Oreochromis niloticus: one gene and its partners. The protein of the gene in region 3 interacts with the protein of the main gene of each other region in a pairwise test. Links are inferred from orthologs where the notes say so. Each region holds a gene or a part of one and is shown on either strand. Other genes may lie near its edges. The genes, in order: wwc1, dpysl3, tnika and trim2a.

The links.
Region 1: the proteins of tnika (region 3) and wwc1 interact in a two-hybrid assay, tested with the Homo sapiens proteins (2 studies listed by BioGRID and IntAct). The link is inferred for Oreochromis niloticus from reciprocal best matches to the Homo sapiens genes TNIK and WWC1.
Region 2: the proteins of tnika (region 3) and dpysl3 interact in a two-hybrid assay, tested with the Homo sapiens proteins (2 studies listed by BioGRID and IntAct). The link is inferred for Oreochromis niloticus from reciprocal best matches to the Homo sapiens genes TNIK and DPYSL3.
Region 4: the proteins of tnika (region 3) and trim2a interact in a two-hybrid assay, tested with the Homo sapiens proteins (2 studies listed by BioGRID and IntAct). The link is inferred for Oreochromis niloticus from reciprocal best matches to the Homo sapiens genes TNIK and TRIM2.

The regions. Positions count from the first base shown.
Region 1 is NC_031975.2:30,434,743-30,442,081, forward strand, and holds the start of wwc1 (protein KIBRA), read left to right. Parts: upstream 1-4,141; 5' UTR 4,142-4,998; coding exon 4,999-5,117; intron 5,118-7,339. UniProt on the Homo sapiens protein: Regulator of the Hippo signaling pathway, also known as the Salvador-Warts-Hippo (SWH) pathway.
Region 2 is NC_031975.2:21,370,589-21,378,608, forward strand, and holds the start of dpysl3 (dihydropyrimidinase-related protein 3), read right to left. Parts: upstream 3,073-8,020; 5' UTR 2,897-3,072; coding exon 2,858-2,896; intron 1-2,857.
Region 3 is NC_031983.2:19,799,817-19,807,772, forward strand, and holds the start of tnika (TRAF2 and NCK interacting kinase a), read right to left. Parts: upstream 3,358-7,956; 5' UTR 2,994-3,357; coding exon 2,937-2,993; intron 1-2,936. Other genes in the region: pld1a (phospholipase D1a), read right to left, coding at 7,863-7,956. UniProt on the Homo sapiens protein: Serine/threonine kinase that acts as an essential activator of the Wnt signaling pathway. Recruited to promoters of Wnt target genes and required to activate their expression. May act by phosphorylating TCF4/TCF7L2.
Region 4 is NC_031971.2:13,887,885-13,896,160, forward strand, and holds the start of trim2a (tripartite motif-containing protein 2), read right to left. Parts: upstream 3,060-8,276; 5' UTR 2,955-3,059; intron 1-2,954. UniProt on the Homo sapiens protein: UBE2D1-dependent E3 ubiquitin-protein ligase that mediates the ubiquitination of NEFL and of phosphorylated BCL2L11. Plays a neuroprotective function. May play a role in neuronal rapid ischemic tolerance.

The DNA of each region.
Region 1 (7,339 bases), on a different chromosome or scaffold from region 3:
ATTTTATTCTAACAATCTTACTGAATTACTAAATGAATAAATACTCTTATCATGCTGTAGAATTTCTTAGATTAATATTGATTTAATAACATCGAATCACTGCACAATATTGAAACAGTCTCTCCTACTTTTTTTTTTTAGAGTAAAACTTATTTATTAAAATTAACTCATTAATAAAAAATGTATTCATTTATTTCCAACATTTCAGAAAAAGTATTGCAATATTGTAGCAATATATTAAATTATATTACAAATGTTGATATTATAGCAATAATTATTACTGAATTCATAATTTATAGTGATGTGGAGATTTTTAATTTTATTCAAATATACTTTAATTTTAATTTATTATAAAAATAACACATATTTAATGCATATTGTCAAAATAACATTAAATTAAATCTGTTATTCATTTTTTAATGTTATGACCTGTACAGAACAACCTTAAGGACCTAAATAATTGTTTTATTCCAAACAAAATGAAGCCCTGAACACAGCTCCACATGTGTAAGGCCGCCGTGTGTTCTCTTTAAAACGTGCTTAAATCAAGTGACATTTAAACAACAATACAAAACCTTAATGTCTGTGTCATCTCCATAAATCCATCTCTAAAAACATGACCTTACATATGTGATAGGTGTTTATAAACTGTAATAAAAGTCTTCCTCCATGTACAGTCATCTTGCTTGTTTTGCAGATGTCTTCTGCAAAACAAGCAACAAGAAAAGCAGCAGTACCCCACAGTGATGTACCCCACAGTGAAGTGCACTGTGGGATTTACTGTTGCTGTAACCAATTACAATAACATTAAAAAGAAATATATTTCATGCTTCACTTCAAATTTAGTGGATATTTTATTCCTCTCATATAAAACAATTATGAAGGGAAGTACAGTGTTTGAATATTTCCTCCTGAAAAAGCAGCACAAATCTAGCAAAGTGCTTCATTAAGAAAGCACTGAAGCTGAAAACACGTCTGTTAGTGAGGGCGTTTTCTTTTTTTCCACAGTAACAGAGGCTTCATGGAGGCCTGATCCTGCATCCCACAGCAGGCACAGCTTTATTCACTGCTTCCTGAATACAGCAGTGCCAAAAGAGTGACACAGCAGCCGGGATAATGATGGAGAACCAGCGCCGTTTTCCCCTTTATAAAAGGCCAGTAGTGATATAAACCAGTTTAAAATAAAACTAAATAAAATGAAAAATACAAAATAAAATAAAAATAAAATGCAATTAACCCAAGACAGCAGTCAAAGTGATGTTTATTTTCTTTTGCAAATCAGTAAATCTAAACATAGTTTTAGTTGAATATGAGAAAATATTTTTTTGTGACGTTATGTTCTAAGTTGAAATCTTTGTATAAGTTTTTGTTGTTCAAATTTAGATGATGAGGAAATGATTAAGATGTAAACATAAGGGGGTAGGGCTAAATAAGTATATACTTCTGCCTACTCCTTTTTAAACAACTGCATGGAATGATATTATGAAATGTTGGTGAATGTATATGTTTGAAATAAAAATGAACTGAACTGAACTGAAATCTGTGATAATAATAATAATGATAATCATGGGTAACAGGTATTAGGGCACTAGTTCTGGGTCATATCTGCTCATTCTAGTGATTTAGACGACCAGATTAGTGCAGTGGGAGCTAATGTGGACTTTTTCCTACAGCGCTTGAAGGCATCAGAATTGTAAAATGTTAGGATGTTTGGGTTTCACTGTCAAACACAGCAGGTATTGATGTTACTGTGCAAAGCTTGGTGCTATATAAATATTCAAAAATTTGCGTACTGAACTGCAGCTCTGTTTGCAAACAGAACATAAAACATTGATATGCAAATGAATTAATCCAAATCTTTTGATTGGACATAGTCCAAAAAAAAATATGTCACATGATGTTCATTATGAATTTAGCAACAGCTAAGCAATAGAAAACTGTTGTTTAATTTGTTTAATGCTAAAAACAAACAAAAATTAAAATAACTGATGATGTGAATTAAAACCATGACTGGACATGAAGAAGAGCTTCGCCCAGAGTTTTTACAGATAAATATAGGGAGGGTTTCAGCTCTCTGTGGAAGACTGTGCATGATTCATTCATGGTACATAAAGTCGTTAAGATTCAGAGAAATCTTCATACACAAGGTTAAAAACCAGGCTGTGAGCCTCAGGCCTTCAGGCAGCACAGCACCAAAGACAGAAATGTGGTGATTCTGTGGTAGAAATCAATTTCTTAAAAACACGTCAGTGAATGCAGCTCATCACTGCGTCCTTCAGTTTCACTTGAATCTCTGTGAAGGAAAAACAGAAACAAGGCCGCGAGATAAACACTGCCGTGAAATTCAGTTTGGAAATCGTGAACATCGTGTTCTCAGGGCTAAAGAAGAGAGGAACCTTTCAGCTGGAGATTCAGTTAAAGTCAATTTAATTCTGAGAAAACCCCAACAATCAGATGACTCCTATGAGCACACGCTTTGGTGACAGTGGGAAGGTAAAACTCCCTTTTAACAGGAAGAAATCTCGGGCGGAACCAGGCTCAGGGAGGGGCGGGGCCATCTGCTGGATAGGATAAAGAGATGCTTTGGAAGAGAGCCAGAGATTAATTATAACTGATGATTAAATGTAGAGAGGTGTATAAAAACACAGTTAGTGAAGAAGATGCACCCAGTGCATCATGGGAAACCCTCAGCAGCCTAAGCTTAATGCAGCCATGCCGGTAACATCTGCACTATGAAGCAGTTTCACTCTTTGTTCTTGACGTTGGATTCTTGTGTGAAGAAATATCTGCACGATGGAAGAATCTGCAGGTGATGATAACCATCACTTCTCCCAACCTATTCAGCACTGCGGAATATTGACCTCCAGGGGGCGCTGTGGGCTTGAAAGTTTGGGCAGGCTGGGAGGTTTAACTCTGTAAATATCTGCTAACAAATAAGTGAATAACATTTAAAACCAGGCGTTATGAATAAAACACTAATGAATGAGCCACAAAACTGAACAAAACTTTAAGTATCACCATAACTCACAGCCTACAATGAAACTTTCTGTCAATAAAAATAATAAAAGTTATAAATGTGGAAGTTTATCTGGGTATTTTTGTTTTGTTTATTTGTTTGATTTAATTTTTTTTAGACCAAATAATTTAAAAAAGTACAAAACAGCCAAAATATAACGGTTAAAATTTACCAATAATAATAATAGTTATTGTTACTATTAATATAGTAATAATAAATAATAATCCATAAATATCCATATAATAAAAAATCTAAAATGAAATAGGTTAAGATAAGGACTTTTTTTTCAAAATTCTGAATGGATTCTTACTGTTGTAGTAGAATAAAAGTATAAATCATAAATAAAATTATACCACAAACTATAGAATATGCATAAATGCATAATTTGCATTTAAATATTAAATTAAGGTAGAACAGCAATGCTTCCATAAAAATAAAAATAATTTAATGAAAACAGAGTTACTGAGATTTGAAATTTTTGTTTTTGAAGTTTTTGCTTTCAAAATAATTCACTTTGATTCACTTTACAGAGTAGATTTGCTAGTTTTGCTAGTTTCAGGTGGATGTTTGATTATTATTTTTAATTATGAAAGTTGTTTGTCAGGAGCAAGATTTTGGAAAGTCGGAACAGCTGTTTGAATAAAAACACGCCACGTGTGCATTTCTATTTTACTGTAGGTTTTATTGTAAGTTCTTTCCACACTAAAGGCAAGTCTTTATTCTTAGTGAATTTTAATCTTGTTTGTTACTCACTTAACTTAAGTGAGTAACTTAACTCACACCTAGTCTTGACTTTTTCAGTTATAGCCTTTTTAACTAACGTTTAGCTATAGTTCACTACAACATTCTCTTTTTTTTTAAACATAGATTTTGTTAATTTTAGTGATATTTCAATACAATAACCAAAAGTATTTACATTTAATTTTTACCATCGCTATAGGCCTTTTACTATGTTGTGTTATTCATAGAACCCTGTATATTTTATTCTTCTTCCTCCTGCTTTAAAACAATAATTTCCCTCATGGGATCAGTAAAAGTACTTTTCGGATATTGTTTTGCCCGGAAGTCTTATTTTGTTTCCTGGAGTTTGTCAACAAATGTTTTATTTTGAAACCGGAAATCGGGTTGAGTGGCTGCAGTTAGCTTGATCGGTTCGAGCGAAGTCATCGGGACCGAAGAAGACTTTACCGCCGCCGCTGCCGCTGCCTCCCTCTGCCCGGCTTTCACCGGAGGATTTTTACGGGATAACAAAGAAGTTCTTCGGCTATTTAGCGGATTTTAACGGCTGTGGATTCTCCCGGTACTTTTCTCCTTTCTCCAAGCGGCGGGCGGACTGTTCGCTGTCCCGCAGGCTGGAGGCTAGCGTCGGTTACTGCGGCTAAACATGGTGGCCTGTAGGCACGGAGAGGAGCCGAGCCCCAGCTCTGCGGGTTTGGGGGTGTTTTAAAGGAACGCGAGGGCGTTTTGGTTGCTGCTCCACCCTTTTCTAAGTCTGCGCTTTGTTAATCTGGAGGTTTCTACTGGGCTCCCCGTGTGTTTCCGTTAAACCCGAGCAGCAAGACCACCGGCGGCAGCAGGACCCCGTCCGTGTTCGGCGGAGCGTGGATAATCATCCCGAAAAAGTTCTTCCAGGCCGCCTCAAAGTTTGCCATCGGACCTGGGAAACTCCAGACCGTCCTGGACACTCCTCCAGCTGCTGTGTTTACGTTACGGATGCTTTGAGGCTCTCACACCGGGATGAATTGTTGCACAAGTGCAGCCTGATGAAACAGTTTGTTTTACCCCCTTCCTCCTCCTCCTGTTCAGGGTCTGATTGTTAATCTGAGGATTATTATGGATTGTTACCATGGCCTAATCCAACCGGACTCTGAATTTGGGGACTAACTGCAGATGTAGAGGCTGACTGTGATGGTGATGATGATGGTATCTCTTCGCGATGATTCTGAGTAGAGAGGAGTTCATTACATGGAGACTCGCCTGACATGCCGAGGAAGGAGTTGCCACTACCTGACGGTTGGGAGGAAGCCAGAGACTTTGATGGCAAAGTTTACTACATTGACCACATTAACCAGTGCACGAGCTGGATCGACCCCAGAGACAGGTAGGACTGCGTGAGAACAGGTGCCGTCGACCTTTGACCTCTGGCAGATAGTCAAAACACATACATGTGATAAATACATGCCGTGTTAAAGGCTCCATTCATGCGGTAAACGAGGTGGTGTGAGCCTTTTAGGCCAAACATCGTTGTCTGTTCATGAAGTCAATACAGAGTTCCACACCATGTTTGCACTGAAGTACCTTGATATGGATTTAATGTGCAATATTTAAACCTGCTGAAGAGGCTTTTCTGTTTAGGGAACTGTGGCAGGTAAAAGCCAGTCACACTGACCCCAGTAATACCTGATTTTAGGGACCTTGTTCCCAGTTTTCTGGCAGGTTGTTATTTGATAAGACATCATAGTAAAATCAGTGGTAGCAGGGGATGGAGGAGAGTTGGTATGAACCTTCCAATAAAAGAGTTGCCCAGTGGCTGACCAACGGCTAGAGACCGCCATCGGCAAACCTCTGCTACCTTGCTTTGATCACCTGCAGTTTGCTTGGAGGACGCCCACTCATTTGCAAACATTCACCAACTAACCACCAAGCAATTGCATAGAACCTCCCAAAACTACTCGCCAACTGGTCGGGAATACTTTATTTTTCCCTAGCAACCGCTGGTTACCAGGGAAACACTGACCAGTCGGTTTCACAGCAACCACTCACAGCTGGATGGTGGAATACTTGTTATTTCCTAGCAACCGGTGGTTGCCGGGTAGTCTCCAGCTGGTGTGACTGAGGTGTGAATGAAATGGGTGGCTGCTGGAGTCGTGGTGGGTGAAACAGAAGGTAATGGCTACCTGATGAATCCGCATCACAGGTGTGCACAATAATTAATTAATTGCAGTGAAAGCCAATCACCTGTGTGAATTATTATCTGTAAATTAGAGTGAATGCATTTTATGTATATATATATACTTTGGTAAGTATGGGAAAAACTCATTTTTACCCAGTAATGGTGCTTTTATTGCTGCAGTGAGGCGGCTGGAAGCTAGTGAAGTATTTTTGAGCTCTTGGCAGCCTGAACATGTTCATTTATTAATGTTTAATCAGACCACCTAGACTGCTCTTAAATAACTTTTTAGCAACGTTATTATTTTTGGCATCTGGATGGTTTGTCATTTTGTGTTTGTAGTAGATAATTTTTGATATCTCGCTAATGATTAAACGGGTCAGTAATGAACAGCCAGTCCAGTGAGGTTTGTTCCTCCAAATAACTCACTCCAAATACCAGTTTACCTCTGGGTGAGGAATCATTCCTTCTCTCGGGAATAATCTGAGGATGGGAACCTCGAGCTGAGTGTGTCACAGAGCAGAAAGCCTCATTCAGTTTGTTAACCTGTCATAAAACCTTGGTTATCTCACAGCTCAGGATGCCAGAGGTGCTTTCTTGTTTGCTCGTTTACATTCCTGCTGTCAGGCGTGGAGGTGTGTTACCTGTTCTTTTCTCCTCTCTCATAGAAACCATCAGTGTAATAGGCTTAAAGAGGCGAGCGTGACACGGCCTCGTATGTTCAGATCGCCACAGCGCAGAGGGGAGGGCGGGTTTTCACTGGATTTTTCAGTCTTACCAGTCACTTAAGACCCCTCAGACTTTGACACCAAATCCCTTTAATGCCTAATGTCTGGAAATCTCAAGGGTTGTTTTTTTTTTCTTTTCCGGGTGACAGAACCTGGATTCTTTCCCCCCAGTGTGTTTGGTTTACGTTTGTCGCTCCGTTTGACTCCTGATTTCCACATTTTCCAGCTAAAACTACAAGAAATCAGAAGATACAGGAGCCAGTGGCCATCATCATCATCAGTAAGAGTATTCCTCTGACTGCTGCTGAGCTCTGCTTTGAGTTCATTTGACCACGTTGTGCCTGAGAAGTGGTCGTGCTTCCAGCTGTCTGATTAAAATGAGGATGATTCCATCTTGACTCCATCTGAACTGAGTCCAGAATAATCTGCATCCAGATTAGTTTGTGATATTTTCTTTAGAACATCTTTAGAACATCTGCCTGTTTTTCTTAATCGAGAACATTTGACTCCCAGAATCATTCCAAACCTCTGATAAAGTTTCCTGTAAGTAAACGGACTCAGAAAATGCCTCTGGGGGGAGGGGCTGACTCTGCATGGAGGCATGATTCGTCAGAAGTCTGTTTTACCGCATTTAACAGAAATCTTCACATTTTTCCCACAATTTCCAAGCATGTGATATTCCAGGAATGTCTGCTATGTTTCATT
Region 2 (8,020 bases), on a different chromosome or scaffold from region 3:
GGCTATAACAAAGAATCCAAGTTCCTCCGTACTGGCTTTAGTTCTCAGACAAGAAGGTTATGGCCATCTTTTATATACATGTTTATGGTTTAGATACAGAAAAGACAAAGACAACAGTCTGTGCTTGTAACAAGAGGTTCTTGCTTTAGTCTGCTTTTACTGAAACAACGTGACACTTTCAATTCTCCTGGCTTGTCTGCATGTGCATAAACCAATAATGCAAGTATTGTGTGTTTGCATTTCTAAGAAGCTGATCAAATGGTTGGAGGGGAATCACTACTGCCATAAACTCCAAATCAAACAACAACATGTGTTGTTAGTCCATACATTGTTGGACATAAAATACATTTCTCATAAAGTTATTGGAGGTGGGACTCACCAGACCCCCGACGATATGAGATTATCACAATATTTCACTCACGATACAATATTATTGCAATTTTTAACATTTGGTGATAAGCTCAGTATTGCAATAACATCTACTGCAATTTATCACCTTTTTTCAACTGCAAATGATGTCCTCAAAGTAAGAATTTGTCAATATCGGTTTTATCCAATAACATAAAGTTATCGACATCGTTTTTTGGGGAGGGGTTTTTTGCTCCAAAATGAAACTGTCAAGCAACACTGTCACTAAAACCTTCCATAAATGTTGCCATAAGATGGAGTCAGTCTGCCATGAGTCTGCAATTGAATAAGATCAAGTGGAAATTTTATACTCTGTCAAGCTAAGTGTGTCCAATTTATGGTAAGTTTGCTCGACTAACCTTGTCTCAGGATGATGGTGCAGGAGACGAGCCCTCTTGGGGCCCAGGGTCATCGCTTGTTGTTAGACTAATATATTTTCAAGTATTTGTTATTTATTCATTTATTAATATCAATATTATCAATATTTTTTATACAATATCGCCACACAAAATAATCCAATATGCCAAACTGATTTTTTCCCTACACCCTTAGAGGCTATGGTTATAACTTGGATGTAGGAAAGAACGTAGTACACCCTACCTTGTCAACTGGACGCAAACAGATTTGGGAGGAACCCACTCAGTGGTTGACCCAGACATTGTTTCAAATCACTTTTCAAAAGCACTTAAATACTGTTGGAATAGTCACCCATATGTTGAGATCAGACCATAATTAAATTCATAAAACAGTGAAAAGTGTGGCTGCTTACATCATAAATTACTCCCCTTCAACTGAAACAGCATGAAGCAGCTTTAGGACGTCCATGAAAAACTTGTATTGTGGTACTTTCTGTCAGCCTGTGTTAATATGCTGCTTACAACTGGAGCTTTTCTAAATCCACAAAAAAGCAAGCTCAGTAACCAAATATGATATATCTTGAGGCGATGAACCAGTGTAGCTTACTCATGTTACTTTTGCTGTTACTTTATTGCTGCATGTGTGTGTATTTTTGACACAATTAGCATTTCCTCTGCATGTTTAAAACCCTCAAACCTACAAAACATCATTTTCTTTAGACACTATTGCCATTCAAATTACCAGCTCTTCTAAAAATGCCTTCACTATTTTCACGTATTTTCATCTCCTAATTTTACAGTAATAACATTTACAAAAAAAAAAAATCCCTCAGTTTACTCCCATTGTGTACAATCAGCTGAGGAGATAAGAATAAGGCAAAGTCTCCCACATCTGAGCAACACACCCCGAACTGCAGCCTGAGCTTCAACAATGAGAGCTGGAAAACAGGCGTTTCAGATGCTCACACACAGAAAGAAAAAAAGCAGAGGGAGAGGTTCCTCTGCAGTTGTAACACACACCAACACCCAGCTGGCTGGCTGTGTAACACCAGTCTGCCCTGAATTCAACCCCCCACCCCGCTCCACCCTGAATGCTCTGAGCCAACCCTGAATCTTTCTCCTTGTGGTGATGCAGAAACACAAGCGCCCCTTCACAAGGCCAGCTTATCACAGATGGGCGTGTATTTCCCCCACCTCTCTTTTCCTCCTGTCCCTCTCACTCTCTGCTGCTGCACCAGCCTGAAAGACAAACCCTGTCTATGATTTCTGAGGCCCCCCCTATGAAATCACAGAGAGGGCTTTTTTCTGCAATAAAACAATAAAGGGCTTCAAGAGAAACAATGAGTTAATGTATAATAAGTGACCATTATTTTTAGGACCCCCCCCTCCTCCTTTTTTTTCACTAATTTGCAAGCATCCAGGGCATTGTGACCAGAATGTGCCATGATACTTTTATGTATGTCATTAAATCACTGTGCACCAAAATGGCAAGAAGGGTATTCGAAAAATGAGATCAACATTACTGTTCAATATCCTCCCATGAACAAGACCATCTGGGCCTTAAAAAGCCCCACAAGGGTTGGACACGTTCTTCTAATATCTTTACGCTGTAAATCTAGGTGGAGTGTAGGGGAATAAATCTAATTAACTGCATTATTCTAAATATATAAGAATGAGTTACATATTTTAAATCACCATAAAGTCTCCGTTATGCACTGAAGAGCAGAATTCCCTGCATAAACCTTACAGTGATTTTTTTTAATGGGCGAGCCGGTATCCGTTCTGCACAACGGCATGGATCGCTTCAACAAAGAGGATGCAGGACACCTTTAAGAAAACGCCTTATCTCCCTGCCTGACTGTCACTATGGTAGCCAGACATGCCATATCATTGTGCGCATTGTTCCAGCGGCTTCCTGCAGTCGGCTCTGACAATAGAAAGAGCATTTTCATGTTGCTCTGGGCTTGCACCGGTGTATGTGATAAAGATCCATCGCAGCGGCGCAAAAAAACGCTAAAACCTTCTGCAGTGATTTGAAGCAGCAGCCATCAAAGTTCCTGCAGCCAGTGAAGCAGAAATAACTCTTTACTCACTGTGATCTTTGGGATGTTCTTTTTTCCTTGATAAGACATCTTCTGTCCGATTCCACCTTTTCTTTTTTTTAAAAAAATACCGAGCTTTTAAAAGCGATATTCCCCCTTTTATGGATGCTGCAGCGGCCCTCGCCTGGATGGGAGCTTCAAGGAATAGTCGCCCCTCTTGTCTGTGCGATGTGGAGTGGCTCGCAGAGTGCTATGGGAGCGTCTGTGGTCCAGGCACACGGCCCCTCCCTCAGTATGCTCAGTTTGGAAAGCGTGATGTCACAATCTTTCCACCGGAGGGCGCAGTGGAGAAGCTGGTGAACAGCCTCCAGCCGGCATCCTCTTCTTTGCGTTACACTGCTGTCACACGTTGTTTTTTTGTTTTTTTTTTTACATAAAGTGTGCTGCGTATCCAATATCTGTCATCACTGACCTATCCGAGATGCCTCTTGCCTCAGAAATAGCAAAGTCCTTGAAGCAGCTGGTTTTGAGGCGCACTAGTTTGTGGTGTAGTCTGAGCCTGTGTGTTTACGGCTGAAGTCACTAAGGTCTGATTGATTAGGGGAAAATTGGCAGAACTAAGAGGAAACAAAGGAACACGGGATAGAAATCACCATCGTTATTATAAACAATATGTAATGGAAAGATTTACTTATTTTAAACATGTCCACTGGCCTCACTGCCGTGTGTTAATCATACATATTGGATGTTTAAATTTTTGCCAGTCTCCTAAATAGGTTTATTGGCAAGAAAAAAAATATTCCCTTTGAAATTGTAGACCTTATATCAGTCACAACCAGGAGATTGTGTGTTTTGTTTTGGTGGACACAGAAGAGCAAAATGGTGTGGCAGCTGTCACAGAGCTTGCCCGTAACATTGCACACACACACACACACACACACACACTCTCTCTCTCTGCATGTTCCCACCCAGCCATGTGTCTCCATTGTTTGAACCTAAAGTGGGTCCCTCTTCGCTCTGCCACTCCCCTCCTCAGCTCTAATGCAGCCATAATGAGATCCTGAGAGTGACATGGATGTAGGAGCAGGTGTGTGACAAAGGGTGTGCCAATTTGTGTGTCTATATTACACTAGCATTATAATATATATATATATATATATATATATATATATATATATCATACTTTCATTTGCTTCATTTTGTCTTTTTTTTAAAAACATTGCTTTACAGAGTAATGTAGGAAGGCTTTACAGCACAGTTATATCCAATTGTTGTAGAAAACTAAGGGTTTAAATCATTTTTTTTGCTACAAGCAGACACAGGGCCTTCATCCTGGCATGTCCTTTCATGGCAGTGAGGCAGAAAGGCATTACCTCAGCATTTCCAGGACTTGGAGAATGCATCAGCGCTACACACTCAAGTTTGCAGGCTTGCTACCTCTGCAGACCACATTAACCGGCTGACACTGACAGACAGACAGGGTGCAGACAGATCAGGGATGCAGAAAAGTCTCTGTCAGGTCATCAAGCCTGTTGGAGCACATTTCACACCACAGTGAATGGACTGAGAAGCTTCCAGTTCACTACCCAACAATCATATAAAATTATATTATCAGTTTACCCACGAGCACAATCATGCTGACCACCTCAGCCACTATGTGATCTCTTTATATAGACGACATTGGCGAATTGAAGAAGACTAAATCATCTAGAGTTGTTTTGTGGCAGTGGGACAATTCTGAAAATGCAGGGGGAGGATAAAGCAACGAGGTTACGCAGAACATAGAATTAAACCTCCTAAAATTTTGCTTAACTCTAAACATTTAAGGCTCTATCAGGTGCTTAGTCTTGACCGATATGAAGACATATGAAGCAGCATTCTTCTTAGTGTTTATTTTTGGTCCCTTTTATGATTCATTCTCCCAAAACACTGAATATATTTATGGTACAACAGCATCTCTTTGCTGCACCCAATATAATTAGAGTTATTTTTCAGACTTAACCAGAGGGAGGCACAGACATCATCTGTTTCTATCTGCTGATTATAAAGACTAAACTGAATGTTATATGCAACATTAGTAGAGTGCTTATTTCATTTGTTCCTAGAGTATCTCTGTGACAGCTTAAAGAGGCACGCGTGTGCATGTTTTAATTTAGACAAGCCTACATGTCAGTGTATATGTATAGTTTTATGCTTTGTGAATGCATGTGTCAATGTGACTTCCACCCTGCAGGACATCACAAAAAAAAAAAAAAAAGATGGGGTTGGGGGCATTTCCTCTCTCTCTGGACATCTGGTTAGCCAGTCTCCATTATTCACTCCACTGCAGCAGCTCACTGCACTAATTAGCCCACCAGACAGGAGGAAAACCAATAAAATCTATAATTATGATTGTTATTGTTCAGTATTACTACAGCAAACAGGGAACAACACAGGAACACATAGTGAGCAGTTCAGTTCACCATAGCCACAAAACAACGAATGATATTAAGAGTTTGCATGACAGTGCCAATAATATCATGACTTACTGTAGTTCAAATCAAAGTGAACCCGGTGTACTCAGATAGGAAGGAGGGGTAACAACATTTGTCATAAAAATACAAACGGGCAGCTTTTCCACTCGTCATTTGTTTGCCAGACGAGGATGCTGTTAAGTTTTACTGGCACGCTAAATGTACCAGTTAATAACAAAGGGATAAACACATCCTGCCTTCATTGTGTCCTCTAACAATTTCCAAACCAGAGGGGGAAAAAACAAAAAAACAAAAACACAACCTTACTCTCTTGTCTGCTGGTTTCTGCTGAATCATCTGGTCCCCTGAGAGCAGCAATATTGCAGTTCAGTATCAGGCCACATGAGGGAAAAAGGCCACCTGCCACGCTGAAGAAATCTATGTTTATTTTTTACAGTACTTTAGGGCAATTAAAGGCAGGAATGATTCAGAAGGCGGGAATCTAATATATCACAAGGATAATGTGAAGACTTAAATGTAGAGTGCAGCAGCTTAGTCTCAAACTGTCTGAGACTGAATGAATAACAGCACTAGAACCACAGAGGTGTAAACAAAAAAGGAAACACATTTAACTGCAACAGTGGGGGAAAAAAGCATGTAGAATACCTGTTCTCAAAGAGATAGAGCTCTACAGCGTCAGTCAGTTTACTTGCATTACTCACACACAGGTCTGTGAGTCTACTGCTTTGTTGCCGAGCCTCTGTTAAATGAAAGTTGAATAAGAGTGCAGATCCGCCTGTGCAGCAGAAACAACAGCAGGCAGTCATATTTTAATTAGTGACCAATCTGAAGATGAAGAACTTGCATCATCAGGAAAGGCAATCTGTGTCAGATAGTTTTGTGGTTTTAAAGTTTTTAAACTGTAAAGAGACAATCCCATTATTTTCCAATCTTTGTAGGAAATATTAGCAGCCAAAATCAGAAAATCTCTTAAAAACTTCCCCACATTCTCTTAAATGCTGTGTAGCACATAACAGCAAACCTTAAAGCTGAAATTCAGCTCAAGCATACTATGCGGGGATCATTTCAAAATGTTTACCAAGGTCTGCTACTAATTTCATTCTAGAGTTGACATCACCATAATGACTTTTATTAGATTCCATTTGTCTGTAATCTATGACATCTTGCTCTATATTAGCTTATTGTGTAATCTGCTTAACTCTTTCCTGGTCTTTTTTTTTAAAATCTGTTTTCTCCGTCCATGCTTTAGAGAAGTACTCTTGTGTGCCAGTAAATGACCACATTCTGGTGATTAAATGGCAAAATGGTAATCACACCACTTTGTCTAGTCCAGTGATTCTACTGCTCTCAGCCAAAATTGTGTGTGTGTGTGTGTGTGTGTGTGTGTGTGTGTGTGTGTGTGTGTGTGTGTGTGTGTGTTGAACAAGAGCCAGAGAGCGAGACATGAATCATCATCTTTTGGTGCCTAGAGTGTACTGCTCAAAGCCAGTGTCAATTAAGAGTGGATGAAGTGAATTTTTAGCATAGTTGCTAGGTCACACGTACAAATATTATCAGCATGTTCTTGTCCCACACTTATTTTATGGCAAAAAGCAGTACTCATACATTTAGAGTCCTGATGGATTGACTTTATCCAATGTATTTTTTACAAAAAAAAAGTTTCCTTTTCTTTCCTTGAATATAGAATATGGAAACACTTCAGAAACAACTTCTTTTTTTTTTTTTTCTTTCTTTTTTTTTTTTACTGAAATAGCACAGTTAGAGAGTAAGTCTAATTAAATTCCAATTAGGGGTACAAGGAGTTCATGAAGTATGTGAAAAGCTTATCTCAACTAATCTGCCAAAGACAAAATTCAAATTTATTAATTGAGTGCAACCAAAGCAGAAATGTTAAACAAAAAAGGAATAATTACAAATCTTTAAAAAAGCAATAAAATAGCCAGCTTAAATTACAACAGCTGATTTTTTTTTTAATTTAATAGCACAGATAAAGAGTTCAAATAGACAATAAATAGCTTACGTGAAGAAAACTAATAAGTAGGAAGTAATGGCTAAGAGTCAATGGTAAGCTGAAAGTAGTACAGAAATTAGTAAAATAACTTGAATTAATTTGTTAAGAGGTTAAGTAATAAAAAAAATAAACTAATTGCTGAGAAATTAATTTCCACTTTTGGGTAATTAAGTGTTATGTATAAGTATATAAAATGAGTTCAGAAAATTCCATCTGAGAATCCATATGCTGTTGTGTTGTCTGGTCTACTGGGTTGATTCAGATAAATGGGTTGTGAACCACTAATATAAAGTAATTATTACCTTTACTTAGCACTGGATTCTTTCCGTGGTGCTTTTGTTTGTGTCTCTCTCTCCATGGTGCTGAAAGACTTGTGTCATTTTTAATCACACATAACAGACACAAACGTACCTTTTCTCAATATCAAAAATTAAAATGCAAATGTTTAAACAGTAGAGTTTCCCAAATATTTTGTAAGGACTTTAAGCATAATGGAAAAGGTATCAAAGATTTTCAAGTGTAACATAACTATAAGTAGTATAAATATAAGAAGCGTTAAGTATTAAAGGAGTATTTCACCAGACTAAGACACAGTAAACATTATTCATTTAGATATTGGTTCTTTTGTGGCCATCCAATAGAATACGGATGCTTATTACTAGCACATAGGCTACTACCATTACAAAAAAAATAATAATAATTTTGGGGATATAAAGCATATTTAATCTA
Region 3 (7,956 bases):
CTACTGCCAGTATTAGTGTGTGGTGTCTGTGTGTGTCTGTGTGTGTGTATTCCTCTGGCTGGACTTCCTGCTGGTTTGCCATCTGTTGCTCTCGTCAGCTGACTAGATGAGCCTGTGCTTCTGACGCCTCTGACCTGTGTGTGTTCGCATCACTTTGCATAAGAACCACTGTCTGTATTTAAAGAATTTTTAAAGTATTCAACCTTGTATATTTTTTTATGGTTATTGTGGGTCATGGTAAGATGGGCCACAGCAGAAACATTTCTGTGAATGCCTCTAGTCAGTCTGGCCTTCCCCACTAAAATGAAACATGATGCATCTATGCAGGTGCCGCAGGGTTGATGTGTCACACCAGCAGATGTTGCAGAGACCTGACAAGGCATATGAAAACAAAGCAAGAGAGGAAAAAGTGCAGAGGCAGCAAACATGAAAAGCCACTTCTCTTTCCACTTTACTTCCCACTCAATTCTGTCTGTCTCTTATGAGTGTGTGTGTCTGTGTGATGGTCATTGTGCCTATAAGGAAGCTCTAGCCCTGGAACAGCCCCCCACCCCCCCCAACCATACACTCATATAGACTTTAAAACACAATGCCCCACCATCATCACCAAGCCCAGTATTTATAAGCCCCCACTCAACCCTACCCACCTCGTCAGAGCCAGCTGACCTACTTCCTGTCTAGCCAGTCCAGCAGTGGATGACTGTAAATTCATCTTAGACCATGTGTGTGTCTGTCTATGTGTGTGTGTGTGCGCGCGTGTGTATTGCTCGGGAAGATAGGTATTGTTCGTACATGTTGAATGGACAAACCTTGGTTTGTTTAAGACTTCTCTGGAAATCATTGTTTATTTCAGCTTGTAGAACATGTTGTTCAGGTTGTGTAACTTAGTTACGGAGGAAATCACAAAAGACATTCACAACATAATATTACAAAGGAAATAGCTGGAGTATAGTTTGGGGGAAAAATATTAAAATAAAGGTTCTGGCTTCCCCTAATGTAGCATTATGGTGGTAGGAAATCTCTATTCTATTTTTTCTCTTCTATTTTTTCCACTTCCATCTTTTGACTCAAGCACTATTTTTATGAAAAATATGAAAACTTTTTTTAGAGCTGTACCACTTCATCAAATGAAATATCTAACATAGGAAAAAAATAAATAAAATAAAATAATAATAACAATAATAATAGAATCTTAGCTTTGAGGCTAATGAAAGTTTGAACTAACCTACTGGTCTTGCCTAAAACCTTTAAGGCTCTTAGTGTTGTGAACTCATCACTACTTTTAAGATAGTAGTAATCATTTGACATAATTATATATTCCCATACTCCTAAATGCACTTCTATGTAAAGGCAAACATGAGCATCTGGATGTGTTTGCACGTCCTTGTAAGCTGCCTCTAAGTCACAGTGACAGACACTTGAAATCCTGCCTCCTAAAGAATAAGGCATCCATGGCTGAACTCCCACTCGCCTCCTCATTCCTCTTTCAGTGTTTCTCTGTCTGTTTTATTCTACTCCTCTTCTTCTTTCAGATTTCTCTTTCCATTCTGTCTTTAATAGAGCTCGTCCCGCTGATGAAATTTTGCTAGGCGTAAACCTAAAAAGTAGCACTTATTTTCCTAAACACTTGATTCACAATTCCTTGGAAATATTATTCTTCTTTCAAGCAGTGCAAGGACGTGGGCGCAGAGACATAATGCTAGGAGACAGAACGACTGGCAGAGAGACAGGGAGGTACATTCAGTCAGTCAGATAGACAAGGTGATAGAAAAACAGGTGATGAAATTGATAGAAAAGAAACGGAATGGAGGTAGATGGATGAGTTGGTGTTAGTGAAGCAGAAACAAATAGGCAAGAAACCATGAAGCAAGAAAGAGACCAGCAAAGACAGAACTGGAGACAAAAATGGCATGTGGGCACAAACAGACGACAACTGCGCTGTGTGAGAGAGACAAAGCAAGAGGGATGTGGTTTTGTTTCTCAAAGCGGCAAACGGGTCTTTAGCTGAAGCATCCCTTACTGCTTTATGCAGTTGACTATCAGCTTGGCAGACACCTACACATTAGAAACACACGTACTGCCCAATGAAGTGAAAATATGGGTCTCCACACATAAACACAGGCTGTTTGTGTATGCCTGTCTGTTTGTGTGCACGTGTGTGTGTGTGTGTGTGTGTGTGTGTGTGTGTGTGTGTGTATTATGGTTTACAGCACATACTGGATGAACAAAAGAACTGGCTATTGCAGCATGCAAGGCTTCAGTTGTGACTTTGAGTAGGTTACAGTGACTACAGGTAGGTTGGCACGCTTGCCTCTCTCTCTTGCACACACACACACACACACACATGTACACACACACACACACACACACACTGAGTAAATACCATGAAGAACAGCAAGAGAGAAAAAAATCTGGATAGATATGAGTTTGACTTAAAAGCAGTTTCTGTCCTGTTCTTACAATACACAAGCCACGAGAATCAGCAGTGTGTGGTAGAAATAGGTTAAATTCCACTCTGAATCAATTCTGATGAGGCTATAATAGGCTGGCCCACTGAAAGAAGATACACAACACCCCCTATCCAGGTCAGCAAAATCACAGCCTCAACCTTAATTCAGCATCACACACAACACCGACCTTCCGGTAACTGACTTGAATGAAGATAAGCCTTCAGATGTGCAAGCCAGCTGTAATGTTGGTTAATGTCTATATATAATTTGATCTATAATTTGACACACTGTGGCGGCCCGTCTCCCACACATCCGCCTTTTGCAGCCTCCTCTGCTCTGTGCCGGTTGTTATTCAGGGAGCACTGTCAGGTGCAAGAGAAGGAGGAACGCGCGAGCGCACACATCAATTTTCTTACACACAGACACGCACACACACTCTTTTTCTCTTTTTTTCTTTAACAGAAATTAAACGTAAATTAATCTTACTCTCAAAGTAGATAGGTCGATTTCGTCCAGACTCCGTGCTGGAGAGTCACTCGCCATGATGGAGGACACAAAAAAGCCACTGTCTGTTGTCCGATATCCAGAAACGGTCTTAGCTGTCACGACTGTGTGGTCTCTTCTGCTGCTAGGTCTACTATCCCCCCTCTCTCTTGCACAGTGATGTGTCAATGGATGACAAAATAATATCAGTCCCTTTCTCGTCAGCAGCTGGACGCTCCTCGGGCCTGGAGCGCACAGCTAGAGCGCAAACGCGTGGAGGATAGAAAGCGATAGCACCGTGTACATCAACACTTGGAAGTCCATGTCTGCGGGATGTAGACCATACAGAGTAAGGTGAAGCAATACGGAGACTGATTTGTTTCTGGTACAGAAGCTGCTGTGACAGCCAGCCAGTAAATATAGAGAAGGAGGGAGGTGGGAGCCGCTTTCCCTCAGCAAACCACGCCTGTTACCGGGCGGGGTTTACTGAGGCAGCGAGGACTTCCAAACTTTTTTCTTCCTCGTGTTTAATAGCAATGTCCTTGTACAAAACAAAAGAAACTGACTGAAGAAATACTTTCTGATTGTTGCTTATATTTCCCTGTGTACTTTTGATTAAATAGAACACTATGTGTATTTTCTTTATTTATTCATTTTTTTCAGGAAAATCGGTATATTTTAATCACAAAAAATGTAACCTGGCCCAACACACACACAAACACAGATAATTATTGAATCCATCAAATGTAAACACACAAGGCAACTGAACTGGTGTCTGTTTATCAGGTTTCCTGTTACCTTGCAACCCCTTTCCCGTTACACTTAGGAGCCTGAAGCATTTTCATAAATCTGTGGAAACATGATAAACAACGAATAACATTCTCATTCCACCAAAGACAAGACGAAACCTCTCTGGTCTCTGGATCCAACTCTAGGTTCCCCTGAATTTGTCTGAGGGCAAGCAAGAGACAAGAAAAACACAGTAAATGATTTATTTATTAATCAATTATTTTAAAAAAACGACAACAACAACAATACTACTACTACTGATAAAATAATAACAATAATAATAATTTTATTTGTATAGTACTTTTCTACAAAGTGCTTCACAGTGTCAATAGAAGCCACAGATTAAAGTTAAGTATGCCTGTTCAAACATACAGACACATTAATGGACATTAAATCAACAGTACGGTCAGACATTCATTCCAACATACACACTTCCATACATACAAATAGTTATAAAGTATAGCCCAAAGCAAAGGGGGAAATTAAGGGAACGCTTATAAAAATGTGTTTTCAGCAGTTATCAGTCGACCTGATAGAGGCTAAGCGAGGTTGTCCCACAGGAGTCTGCTGATTCTGTCAAACAAGAACCTTGGATTTTGTTTATCATCATTAACCAAACCAGCAACATAAGATGTTCTCGCATATTTCATGAGTGAGTTGAGTGTGGAGGAAAAAAGTTTCCAAGTATTTACGTTACAGTACATTGTAAAAATAGCATTGACTTCCATCCAAATTCAGTCAGTGTAGTTTAATATTATTAGTACTAGGCAAAGCAAGCAAAAGCATGCCAGTAGAAAACAGATGGAAACATCAAGACATCAAAACACAAAATTCCACACTGACATACCTGTGAAAGGAACTTCCTTTTCAGTGGTTTTCATCATACCCTTTTCTGAAGAGCTTTCTAAGGAAGGTATGTTTAGCTTTGAGGTGAATTTTTTTTTCCATAAAGTCCAAACAAAAATACGAACAAGGAACAAGGAAAGAGAAAGGGAGCTCTTTTCAGGAAGAGAAAATTGAAAATTAATTATTTTCCAGCTGTGTGTTTTTGGCTTTACACCATTTATTTCAAACTGATTTTTTTTTTTTTTTTTGAAGAGAATTTAAACATTCAAGCAGATCAGAGGTTTTTTTGTTTTGGCTTTTCTTGTCACATTTTGGAGTACTGCCATGCATGACTTCACAAAACCTGTGTCACATGCTTATGAGAATTCTTAATGACAAATAAACTGAATTTCCGATCAGGTCGCTTTATATCCTTATGTGTCAATGTTTCTAAACCAGCAAGCAACTAGGCCATCTCACATGCCATAACATGCAGCCAACGACATTCTACTGAATCAGGCCTCCTGAGTTTTATGGAGTGTCATTTTCGAGAGAAGGGAGGAGCGTTCTGTACTCAACTGCCTTCAAATGGAAAAACATAAAAATTAAGCCTTTGTTTTTCTATTTCTTTTATGCTCCTTATGGGCATAACCAACAAATTGGTTTGTTAGTACTTCTTTTGCTATAGCAGAGCTGATTGCACACATACACAACTGGCCAACGCCCCTGTGATTTTTCACAATAGAAAAAAAACAATCGTTTAGCATATTATTCACCACTTTCCACTATATATGTTCAGCAATTTGTAATTCTCCATATACATTTTAATGTTTGGTTCATAAACAGTGGGTCTTTTATACAACAGTATAGACTTTCCTACTATATTCCCAAATAACTGAAGATGTCCTCCAGCCTAGCTTTTGCACCCAACTTTTGTTTTCAAAGTTAATGAAACATATTGATTTATTTTCCATATTGCAACTGCTGCTGATTTCACTGTTTCATGAGAAAAGAAATACATGTTTGCTCACATTCTTCGACCATGCAGAAGCTGTTTTCTGGGGGTTAACAGGTTCAACAGTTCTTATTTCTCATGCAACAACCTACCTGTTTTTTCACAGTTGGAGCGAGAGCCGTTGCTTTACTCATATTGACGTGTACTAGAGATGGGAATGTAGTCACACAGGCATTATAAGAAATTATTATGCAGGAGCCTATTATTGAAGCTGGTCTGTCAAGCCATATATCTTAGAAATGATCAAGTTTCATAGATGTGCCTATTTTCACGTAAAAAGGAAACAAAAAGTTCAAAGATATGCGTATTTGTTAGTCATTTTAATTACATAGTTTCAAATGAACAGATAGATATCGGAAATCTTTTAACTGTACAAAAAGGTTATTGTACATTAACTGAATGAAGGCAAGAGGTCCAGAGAGTTTACAGAAAGAACAGCTTCAAGGTGGCTATGAAAAAGAAAACGAGTCCAAAATCATCCATGTGAACGTGACATACATTTAAAAATAAATGTTAAAGAATGCTCAATTCTTTAAACTCCATAAATAATAAACATAGCAGACAATAATGTCAAATTCAAAACAGTTTAAAATGTAAAAGTTTTTTTTTATCATTTTACTAACAAAGAGAAATAATTTTCAAATAGAAGCACTTGATTTTACATCTGCCAATGTTGTGGTCCCAGTCATTTTCTCTTACATAAATGGCAATGATTCACACACTGGGTAAACAAAGGGTGCTGCCTTTACATGACAAAACTGGAGCTCTATGCCAGGTCAAAGTAATTATGTGGTTGATTTGTTAAATACCTTGTGATTCCAATGTGTCATAATTAACCGACTATGTGATTAGTTTCTAAAGAAGTGGTTATTTATCTTCACATTTAGGGGATGGTGATGCTCAAATAAGACAACGTGGAAAATATTAAAAATGAAAACAAACTGGGTAACACGAGTCAATATTTTCACATTTACAAAATATATAAACTGCTCGTGGATCACCTATCGCAAGTATCTCGAGAAAAGGTCATTTTACTCTGAACTGTTACATTACAATAAAAACAAAAAAATAAAGTCTTTGAAATGCTGTTTTCAATCTGGAACTACACAGAAACTGGAACAAAGCAATTTCAAAGCCTGACTTCATACGAAAGCTTTACATCCAGCTTCATCTGCATGCTTAATGACAAACATAATTGCTGTAGTTTTGCTGTTTGTTTTTGTTACAATGTTCAAAATCCATTTTTACTTACCAAGAGGACCTTAAAGATCCTTGAGATCTTATTTTCTAATTTTGCAACTGATTTTTAGGAAGCTAGCACCATCTGCTGAACAAAGAAGAAATTTCTCTTCTAAATGGACACGCCGATTGTCTTAAAAAGCCACTCGAATCATTTTACCAGGTCACAAAACATCTTCAACAACAAATAAAATGTCAGTGATGAGGTTTTGTTTTTTTTTTCTCAGAGGTGCGATTGGTACAAGCATCATGGCAATCAGACTTCAGCATAGTTAGTAAATTGTGCACTGCTCTCGAAACGGTAACATTGTTTCTGTGCAGTTGGAAACAAAGCAAAGAGCAAGCATATCTTCAATTTCTTACACAAACAAAATCTTCAAAACACCTCTGAGATTACATGCTTGTAAATTTAAATAATTTATCAAAAGCAGCACATACTTAACAGAGAACTCTTCCGTGAGCTCATAAACAGCATACATGGCACTAATGCATGTTACGGGCGTACATAAAGAACTCAGTTAATCACATTTTACCACCTCTAATGTTTAGATTTTGTGATTTCTAAACAGAGCTGAATATCTGTTAGTGTCATTATTTGGTTATAGACTTCATCATCATGGTCCCATACAAGCTTTAGCCATCTTATGAGCTTTTTGCACAGTTCAAAGGTCTAAGCATCTAGAATTTAAGATAAAGTGATTCCCAAAACCCAGTCTTCATGTTGTCTTTCCACATATTGAATGCAGTCACACTGCTATCATAGATGCCCGTGTTCTTCACATAATACATCCAAAAACTAACAAGGTATAACTACTGTCTAGTGTCTTCCAGTAGCAAAAGATCTGAGAGATTTGTCATTGCTCAGCAATCGTATCAAGCAAAAAGACAAAGTGTTAATCTGACTTTCATCTCAGAAATATATTATTCAGAAGTGATCTCTTTGACTCCAGTACTGAACATTTATCATCATTAAACTGTGAAAAACCACCCAGAGGCTTCCCACAGGAGGTCTTCTCAAGGAACAGTCCATTTCATTTTGTGGGTAATGGGGCTGAAACCCTTCATGTCCAGATCTCAGTTGGAACCATGGCCTCCTTTGTCCCAACAGAGGGCATGAGATTATGCTCAGACAGGAAGTCCAGAGGAAATTGCACT
Region 4 (8,276 bases), on a different chromosome or scaffold from region 3:
TAAGCAGACCATCTCTAAGCTCACGTGTTCATTTTAGTTATTAGGCTGGTTCAGGTTCCTCTTACATTGCAGTCTTAAGATCTCCTCCCTTCCTTTCAACCTCCACTCACATCTTGCGTCAGGTGACCTCAATAGGTCACATGATAGGGTGGGGGGGGGGACTGTCCATGACTTGATAAGAAAGACGTATGATGTCATCACTATTGTATCCTATGTATCCTGTATTGTGACTAACAATACCCTTGACCCAAAATATATATGTTTGCAGCCTTAATGCTCATAATGGTATGAATGCCTCTCTGTGCAAATATGTTCAAAGACAGTAAGTAAAAGGTTTTCACATGCACATGCACATATAACTACAATATGCGTTGCCTTTAACTTGTAGTATTACCTCAGAGGTCCTCATTATTTGGAGATGACCAAAAGATAGTGTTAAGTCTTGCATGCTGGATCAGAAACAGATCAGAAGGATTTTTATGACCGATACAAATACCGATATTTGGTAATTTAAAAATTAAATATGTATTGAATCTGGAGAACCTGTTTATAACACATAAACAGATTCTCCAATCATTTGGTACGTGTAATTATTTATTTACTCATTCCCACTCCGCTTGAATCTGCTCGGATTAGCTGTTAGTTGTTGTGTGCGGAAAATTGCAGCATGCCCCCTGGTGGACACACCATGCAACATCAGCACTAATAATAGGCTCACCAACACACTTCATGTACATAATCTATAATGTGTTTGTTTGCCCTTTCAAAAACGATGTCACTCAGAAGTCCTTCGTTCTCCTGTTGATTTGCAGTCACAGAAATGATTCAGATACACTCAGAGCTACTACCGAGTAAAGAGTGACTAAGCTGGTTGTTGTTCTAGCTTAATCACTTAGCTTTAACCACACAGACTCTGAGCTCTGGCAGAGCTCAGAGAGCTGGGTCCATTGATCCTGAGGGGTGACAATGTCACAGTGCAACAGTGCAGAACAGCAAGCCTTCGGGGGTTTTAGTCACTGTACGAGAAAAACATCAATACTAACACCACCAGCCGACATGTAATGGAAAAATATGTCAGTCGATATCAGGGTTATTTGCTGATTGATACTGTAACAAAGCTACATTTGCCTTAATGAGTATCTATGTTGCAAATGATCTTAAAATTTTCTATATATTTATGGCTAAACAGATGTTTTGTCATGTAACTTGCTATTAGGTGTGTGCTACTTTATTGCTTATTCATAGTTTTTTTTCTAAGTAATTTAATAAGTAATAAATAAGTAATTTCTTTGACATGGATGAGAATGAGGGGTGGATTTGAGGGAAAATAAGTGTTTTGCAACTGCTGACACTACACACTGCGTATCAAGACAACGTACCTCAACTATTCTTTAAATATCACGAGTGATTAAACACGTTTATCGACAAAATGCATTTTACATTTCACTAAAGACTGTTCACTTTTTATATGATTAGGCACATAATAATCCCATGAAGAGAAGAATTCACAACAATAATCACAGAGGTTTCAACAAACTATTCATCAGACGTAAGAACACAAAGTCCAGATGACACGTTTCATTTCCCAGTTTACCTTTTCTGGACAGATGAGACTAATGTCAACTTGAATCAAAACGATGAGGTAGGCTCAGAACAGCTCACGATCAGGTGGGATGTGATGGATGGGCACGCGTGGCTTCCGGTGCCACTTAGTCACATGATGGGAAAAAGAAGCTTGAAGATGAATCCCTTCCTTCCAAAACTTCCCGATTAGCACGAGGATGATGCTCCACTGCAGCGGTGGCAGAATTGTGCAGCCCTTACCACACCACTTTCTACTTTTTGTTCCCACAACCATTTACTGCATTGAAGCATCTCTGATGTCACAACAGAAAGAACAGCCCGCCATAGGAAAACTTCTGCTCGGACATCAAAGACTCTGTCGCACAGAGCCAGGATAAGAGAGAGGAGTGGACAGAGAGGGCAGGCTTATGTAATCACACTTTAATCCATGACAATGACATGAATGTGGCTTGCTGATGAGCCATTGAGACAGTCCACTGTGAATAATGATGGCAATGTCGTAGAAACTCCCAAAATTAATGTAAAACCCCATCAGTGTAACAGAGTCAAAGACTTCTCTGGTCACCTTTGATCAAAGGATTCATTTAGTATTCAATTCAAGTTTCTTATATCTGTAAACTGACTGCAGAGGGAGAGCACAAGTCCAAGGGTCACTTATTAGCGTGTTTAATTTCTAAAATCAACACACAGTGTATAAACCGTTCAACCAGGTGTATATGGTGTCAAAATGTCAATTCAAGATTTAGTTATTTCATTTATTCCCTGAAAAATTACTGTTACTGTTTTTATTTAAATAAATCACTAACTCATCCGAATCTGCAGAAATGCTCTCATCTCAGTGTTTTTAATGAATCCTGCTAAAATCAGATGACTTCTCAATGAATCCGACGGTCAGACACGTTTCACTGCAGAAATAACAGCAGCTTGTCACAAGCAGCAGAGAATCAGGTGCAGTGCGGCGACTACAGCGTTACTCATGCCAGACTCTGCGCTGTGACAGCTAAACTTCAAGATCAAGCCTGAAGTTCAAACTGTAAATACTCACAGAGAACTACACGTGCAGACAACACACGCGCTGAAAACGCCAAACAAAATCCCACAATGCCTCGGAACTCATGCGATCCTTCCTCCCCAGCACTCACCACAAGCGCATCAGTGGTTCATTCAAGTTTTCGCAGATTTAAGATGCGGACGTAGGCACGCTGTTGTCCCGCTGCAGACCTGCGCTCTTAAACCAGCAGCTGGACATCTGCACTTTATATGTTTGGATGCATTTCATTTTAACACAGAGATGTGAATCCTCTGAAGCTCTGACTGCGTTAAGCCAAATCCTAAAGCTGGTTCAGACACAGCTGATGTTTTCCACTTACCTAAAGGCAGACTTATCCGCGGAAACTGAGGATGTTTCAAGCAGTTATCGTCATCTGCTGGGATTTTCCCGTTTAAGCTCCCTCCGTCCTCCGCTCCGTGCTGCTCTGCGCTCACACTACAGCTGAACCGAGAGCCACTTCAACTCACTTCCACTTCACTTATTAAAGGGATCCGCTGACAATAAAAGGGAAAGGCAACAGCATCCGGAGGCAGTCTGAACTCATCAATAATGCATTCACGTGTAAAAATAACCGATTGTCAAAGAGTTATTTCTATTTCTGCTTCAGTGTTTGGTACTTCTGTGGCTCACCGAGGAAACTGTTTGTAGTATTTATTGTTGTTTTATCACTTGGGAATCGGGCCTAATACCACAATACATTTAAGAGAAAAGTAGGCTTTCTACATAATTTAAACACACACACACACACACACACACACACACACACACAATAATAAAATAATTATTTTCGTTGCCAAAAGTTGCATGAAGACATTGACTGACCGGGGTTTTAGGGTTATTTAGGTAAGAAATACCAGTGGTTATAGTTTAGTATAAAGTTAGGAAGCACGGGTAAGTTAAAAGCTAACGTAGTTTTGTCATGTGGCAAAAAAAACCCTCCTTACACACTCTCTGAGGCAAACATCTCACATTTAGTAATTTAATATTTAAAGTAACTATGAAAAAATACATTGAAATAAATAAAACAAAGGACAGTTAGCCAAAAAAATTAAACAAACAAACAAACTTTAAATCGTCAGCCGTCCATCAACTGCTAGCTAACATCCGTATTTATTATTGTAGCCTCTTTACAATATAAAGCCTTTGAGTCAGCTGTTGTCATTTGGCACTATATAGATTTTTAATTGAATATTCTATTTATTTATTCATTCATTCAACTTTACAGGTGACCCTATTTTATTTATTCACCAGATAACAGACAAGTGACCACTGGAGCTAAAATATGGAGTGTCATAAACTGCATTTCCTCTAGCGGCCACTTGAGGCTAAATCCATTAGTGAGTCAATCCTATTTTAAAATGCTTAACTTTACAGAATTAAAAAAACAAAAAAACAAACAAGTTTACAGTCTGATACAAAATGGGATTTTGGTCTCTGCGGGTAGCTTCACAAGTCTGCAGAGAAGTGAAGTGATTTTTTTAATAACTGGATTCGGAGCTGGGTATGCAAACACAGACAGCTGTAGGATAGTTTTCTGTGTGAGGAGAACTTTAAGTGAACTTCACAGTGTTTGTGCTGCTGGAGCCATTTGAAGCATTTGTTATAGAATTATCTGACTTATGTCAGGGCTATGTGTGCGCTACAGACCAGCCGCAAAGTTTGATTAAGTTTTAAGGAGTAAAGTTCTGGTATTAGTCTACTCTAAGTGTGGTACTGAACCACTACGGAGGGCCTAGAGTGCCAAAATGAATTCTATTTAATTCATTCATTTCGGCCAACGAGGCCCTCCATAAGTAACCAACTATGTGTCTGTGCATGGCACCTCTGCAGGTCATGGGTGTAGCTTGCTAATTATGCTTGCTAGCTCCTGCTCTCCTTCAAATGTTATCACGTCTGTCACAAAACACTAACGGGCCATTGTTGAGGTTTCGAAATGCAGAGTCCAAAACCAGCAGGCGATATAACAATAGATATGTTCGTGTTAGCTGTCATTTTGTTTTAAATTAGGCTAAGATGGCTTAAACTAAGCTGTCTGTGGGCTAATATTTAACTATACCATGGTTAACTGTCTAGAGTTTTCCCAGCTCTTCATACAATAAGGATAGGCTTGAGCCATGCCTTGACCCTGAACAGGACAAGGGTTTAAGAAATCTAATGGATGGATTTGTATTGGATGTTGTTTTTTTTTATCCAATCAATCAATAAATAGATAAGATTTTTTTTTATTGAGTTAAAAAGAATGTAAGCTGGTCGTATAATTCCAGCTTCTAGTAGGACTCCTGATGGGCGTCCAAGCGCCAGTCGTAATTGTGGTTTCCTGTCAAGCCCCTCCCTTTTTTATGCGGGAGGCTGTTGCATGGCAACTCTACATTATGCAGCCGCCCATGAAAGACTCTTTTCAGATTAAATAGAAAGAAAGAATCGCGTTATTTGCATTCCTTTTCCATTAATGATTGCGTTTGATGCAGGAACAGGCTGTGTAGCGTTTATTGTCTGGTGTGCGTCAGAGGTGGGGGAAGGGTGACGCATCTGAAGGCCTCACTACTATTTTAGAAAACTCAGGCAGTGTGTGTGTGTGTGTGTGTGCCACAGTCAAAGGGCACCTGTTTAGCATGCGATGCACAATCACAGGCCCAGTGCAAAGATTTCCTTTTCTTCTCAGCATCCCACCTCTGTTTCCTCACAGCTAAAGCGGTACAGTGACAGCCTAAAAAGAGTTTTAATAAAGGCTGAAGAGGCACCAGAACACAAAAGCACACCAGTGCATGTAAAATTTCACATTCAGAGTACGTGAGCGAAAGCTCATTAGCATCAGCAGTAACCAGCATTTATTTTTATATTAATTCTTATTTACTTAAATCTACACCAAAAGTACACAAAAGTAAAATAAAGGTGTTAAATGCACATAATGGACTGAAAAAGTCTAACATTAATCTTTAAAGTAAATATTAAGGCGCTGACATGGCCATACAAACATCAAATATTTACGAAAAGTCCAATTACTTCAGAACTTAAACCTTAAAAACACCATGCACTCAGTTCCACGGCTGATTTGCTTTGGTTCTTTCAGTGTTTGGTTTAGAGTCACGACAGCAGCTTGAATTAGTTTTCAAATAACACAACAAGATGTAGCTTGGCATAAAAATGTGAATCGATTGATGTCACCAGAAAAAAAGCTTGATTCATTTTAAAATCAAATCTTCACAGGAGAGCAGAAACAGTAAATAAAGTCCACACTAGAGTGTGGCCATGCTCTGGCAGAGTGCTTTTTATTTTTAGGCCAGACTGGAGTTTTACCATTTGACCATAATTTCATATCACACCGGTCACAGCTGCCCGCACCTGCTGCTGTTATTAGCTCAGTGGAGCATGGCCGGATTAGCAGAGGGCTCTGTGAATGGCTGCTGAATAATTGAACATTTCTTTTGTTTCATTCATGCTGTTTGTTGGAACACATGATTGAGACATTACAAATGCCCAGCGTGAGGCTTTAATTTGGCCATCATTGCAGGTTATTGCAGGCAAATGTACACTGAAGTTACTGCACAGTTACCAGGCAATCTACCGATACTGACAAGACGTACAGTAAGACTAAAGAACAGCAAAATGTTTGTGGTGTAGTAAAACCAAAAGCTTGAAACAGAATACATACACGCACCTATGTTAGGTACCTGTTCTACTGCTTGTTTACACAAATATCTAATCAGACAATCACAGGGCAGCACCTAGACGTGGTAAAGACAACCTGCTGAGGTTCAAACCGAGCCGCAGAACGGGCAAAAAAGGTGATTTAAGTTGCTTTGAATGTGGCACGGTTGTTCACGTCAGATGAGCTGGTCTGCTGAGATTTTCCCACACTGTCATCTCCAAAGCATATCCAGTCAGTAGTCATTCTCTGGGCATAAATGCCTTGTTGATGTGAGAGTTTAGAGAAGGATGGCCAGACTGTGTCAAGCGACTAAGAAGGCACACCTACAGCAGTAGAAGGCCACACCGAGTGCCACTCCTGTCAGCTAGGAACAGGAAACTGAGGCTACAATTCACACCAGAAAAGCGCTTCTTACCAGCTGCTAATCATTTAAACACCACAGCCCACCTGAGTATTGCTGCTAAACATGTCCGATCCAGCCAACACGTCTGCAGCAACTGTGTGATGCTGCAGACATCTTGCACCTTGTTGAATTTATGCCACAAAAGGGAACCCAGTAACATCGAGCTGTACCTAATAAAGTGTCTGGTGAGTGTAAAAGACTGCAATTTAGGGACTAAAGGAGAATTTAAAAAACTGAGTGACTCACAAGGTAATATGGTCCGAATATCACGTTGGTTCATAAACACAAAGATTGTCTTGTCTTATTGCAGCACATCATTTGAAAAGCGTTGAGTAAACTAACACGAGGGAGATGTTTTATATCAGTGAATGAAAAACACCCTCACCTCATGTTTCTGTTCCAGTCTTCTCTCCGGAGCACTTCCTCTCTGTGCTGTGAGGTCAGTCTGGGGGCTTGACTTTCACCACATCTTCATGTAATGAAGATCTGAAGACAGAAGAAAGCCCCACTCAGATCAGCTCTTGACTCTCGCTCGCTCTGTTACCGACTTACTTTTAACCCACTGGTTGTATTTATAGGGTCATTGATTGCTTCACTTATTTTTTTCAAAAATCTGAGCAGTTGCATCCAAACCGGCAGCTAATCTGTGTGCTGTAATCACAGGTAATCCCTGAGGGTGTAGTAAGTATGAGTACATGAGTATGAAACTCCTAGCATGTTGTTATGGGCTGTAGACAGCATTTACAGGCACACGCTTATTTAAAGGTCACAGTGATGGAGGGAGACTAATAAGCAGTGACAGCATGTCCTTTAAAGTGATACAGAGTAAGGTCATCACCAGGGCAGCGTAGTAAAGCTCTGACTTTAATAACACATGACGTTAAAAAAGTAAACTATCAAACCGCAGATGACCCTGCATCAGCTCCAAATTCCCAAAGGTGATTTTCATTTTACAGCTTCATTTGTGGCTTTTGATGCTTAACATCAGAGAAAACTAAATGCAAATATTAAGACTTCATGTTAACTTCTTACTTGCAGAAACAACTGCTGCAGTAAAAATGCAGAGGCTACAGAGGTTGCGACTCACTCCGTTCTTAGGCATACTGATTCAGTCCTCGTCCTGTACGGGACCACGCCTGTTGTGTCTGATCCCAGGTGTCTGCTTCATGACGTTAATATAAAGGAGAGCGTTTGTTTGCTGTTCTTCTGTCCACTGAACAACCCTTCCAAACCCAGGAATGATTAGACCTTCTCTGACTAACCGGGCTAACCTTCACCAGGGAGAAGACTTTTACTACCTGCAGCAGTGAGAGTCAGGAGCTGGCTCTTCAGGTGTCGCCCTGAGCTGCAGGATAAGGAGGGATTGAGAGGAGCATAATCCCTCGCACATGGCTAAAGCGCCTTCGATCTGGAGATAAACGTGCCAAGTCACGAGCTGCTTGACATCTCATGCTTTGTAGTGGAAGAGATGCAGCCCAGTGTTGAACCTGCACCACTCACTGTACCGGTTGACCACAGAAAGCCTTACATAATAGTTTCTGTTATGGTCCTGGTAGGCCTGAGGTTTTCTCCTTTTTCCTCCCTCTGTT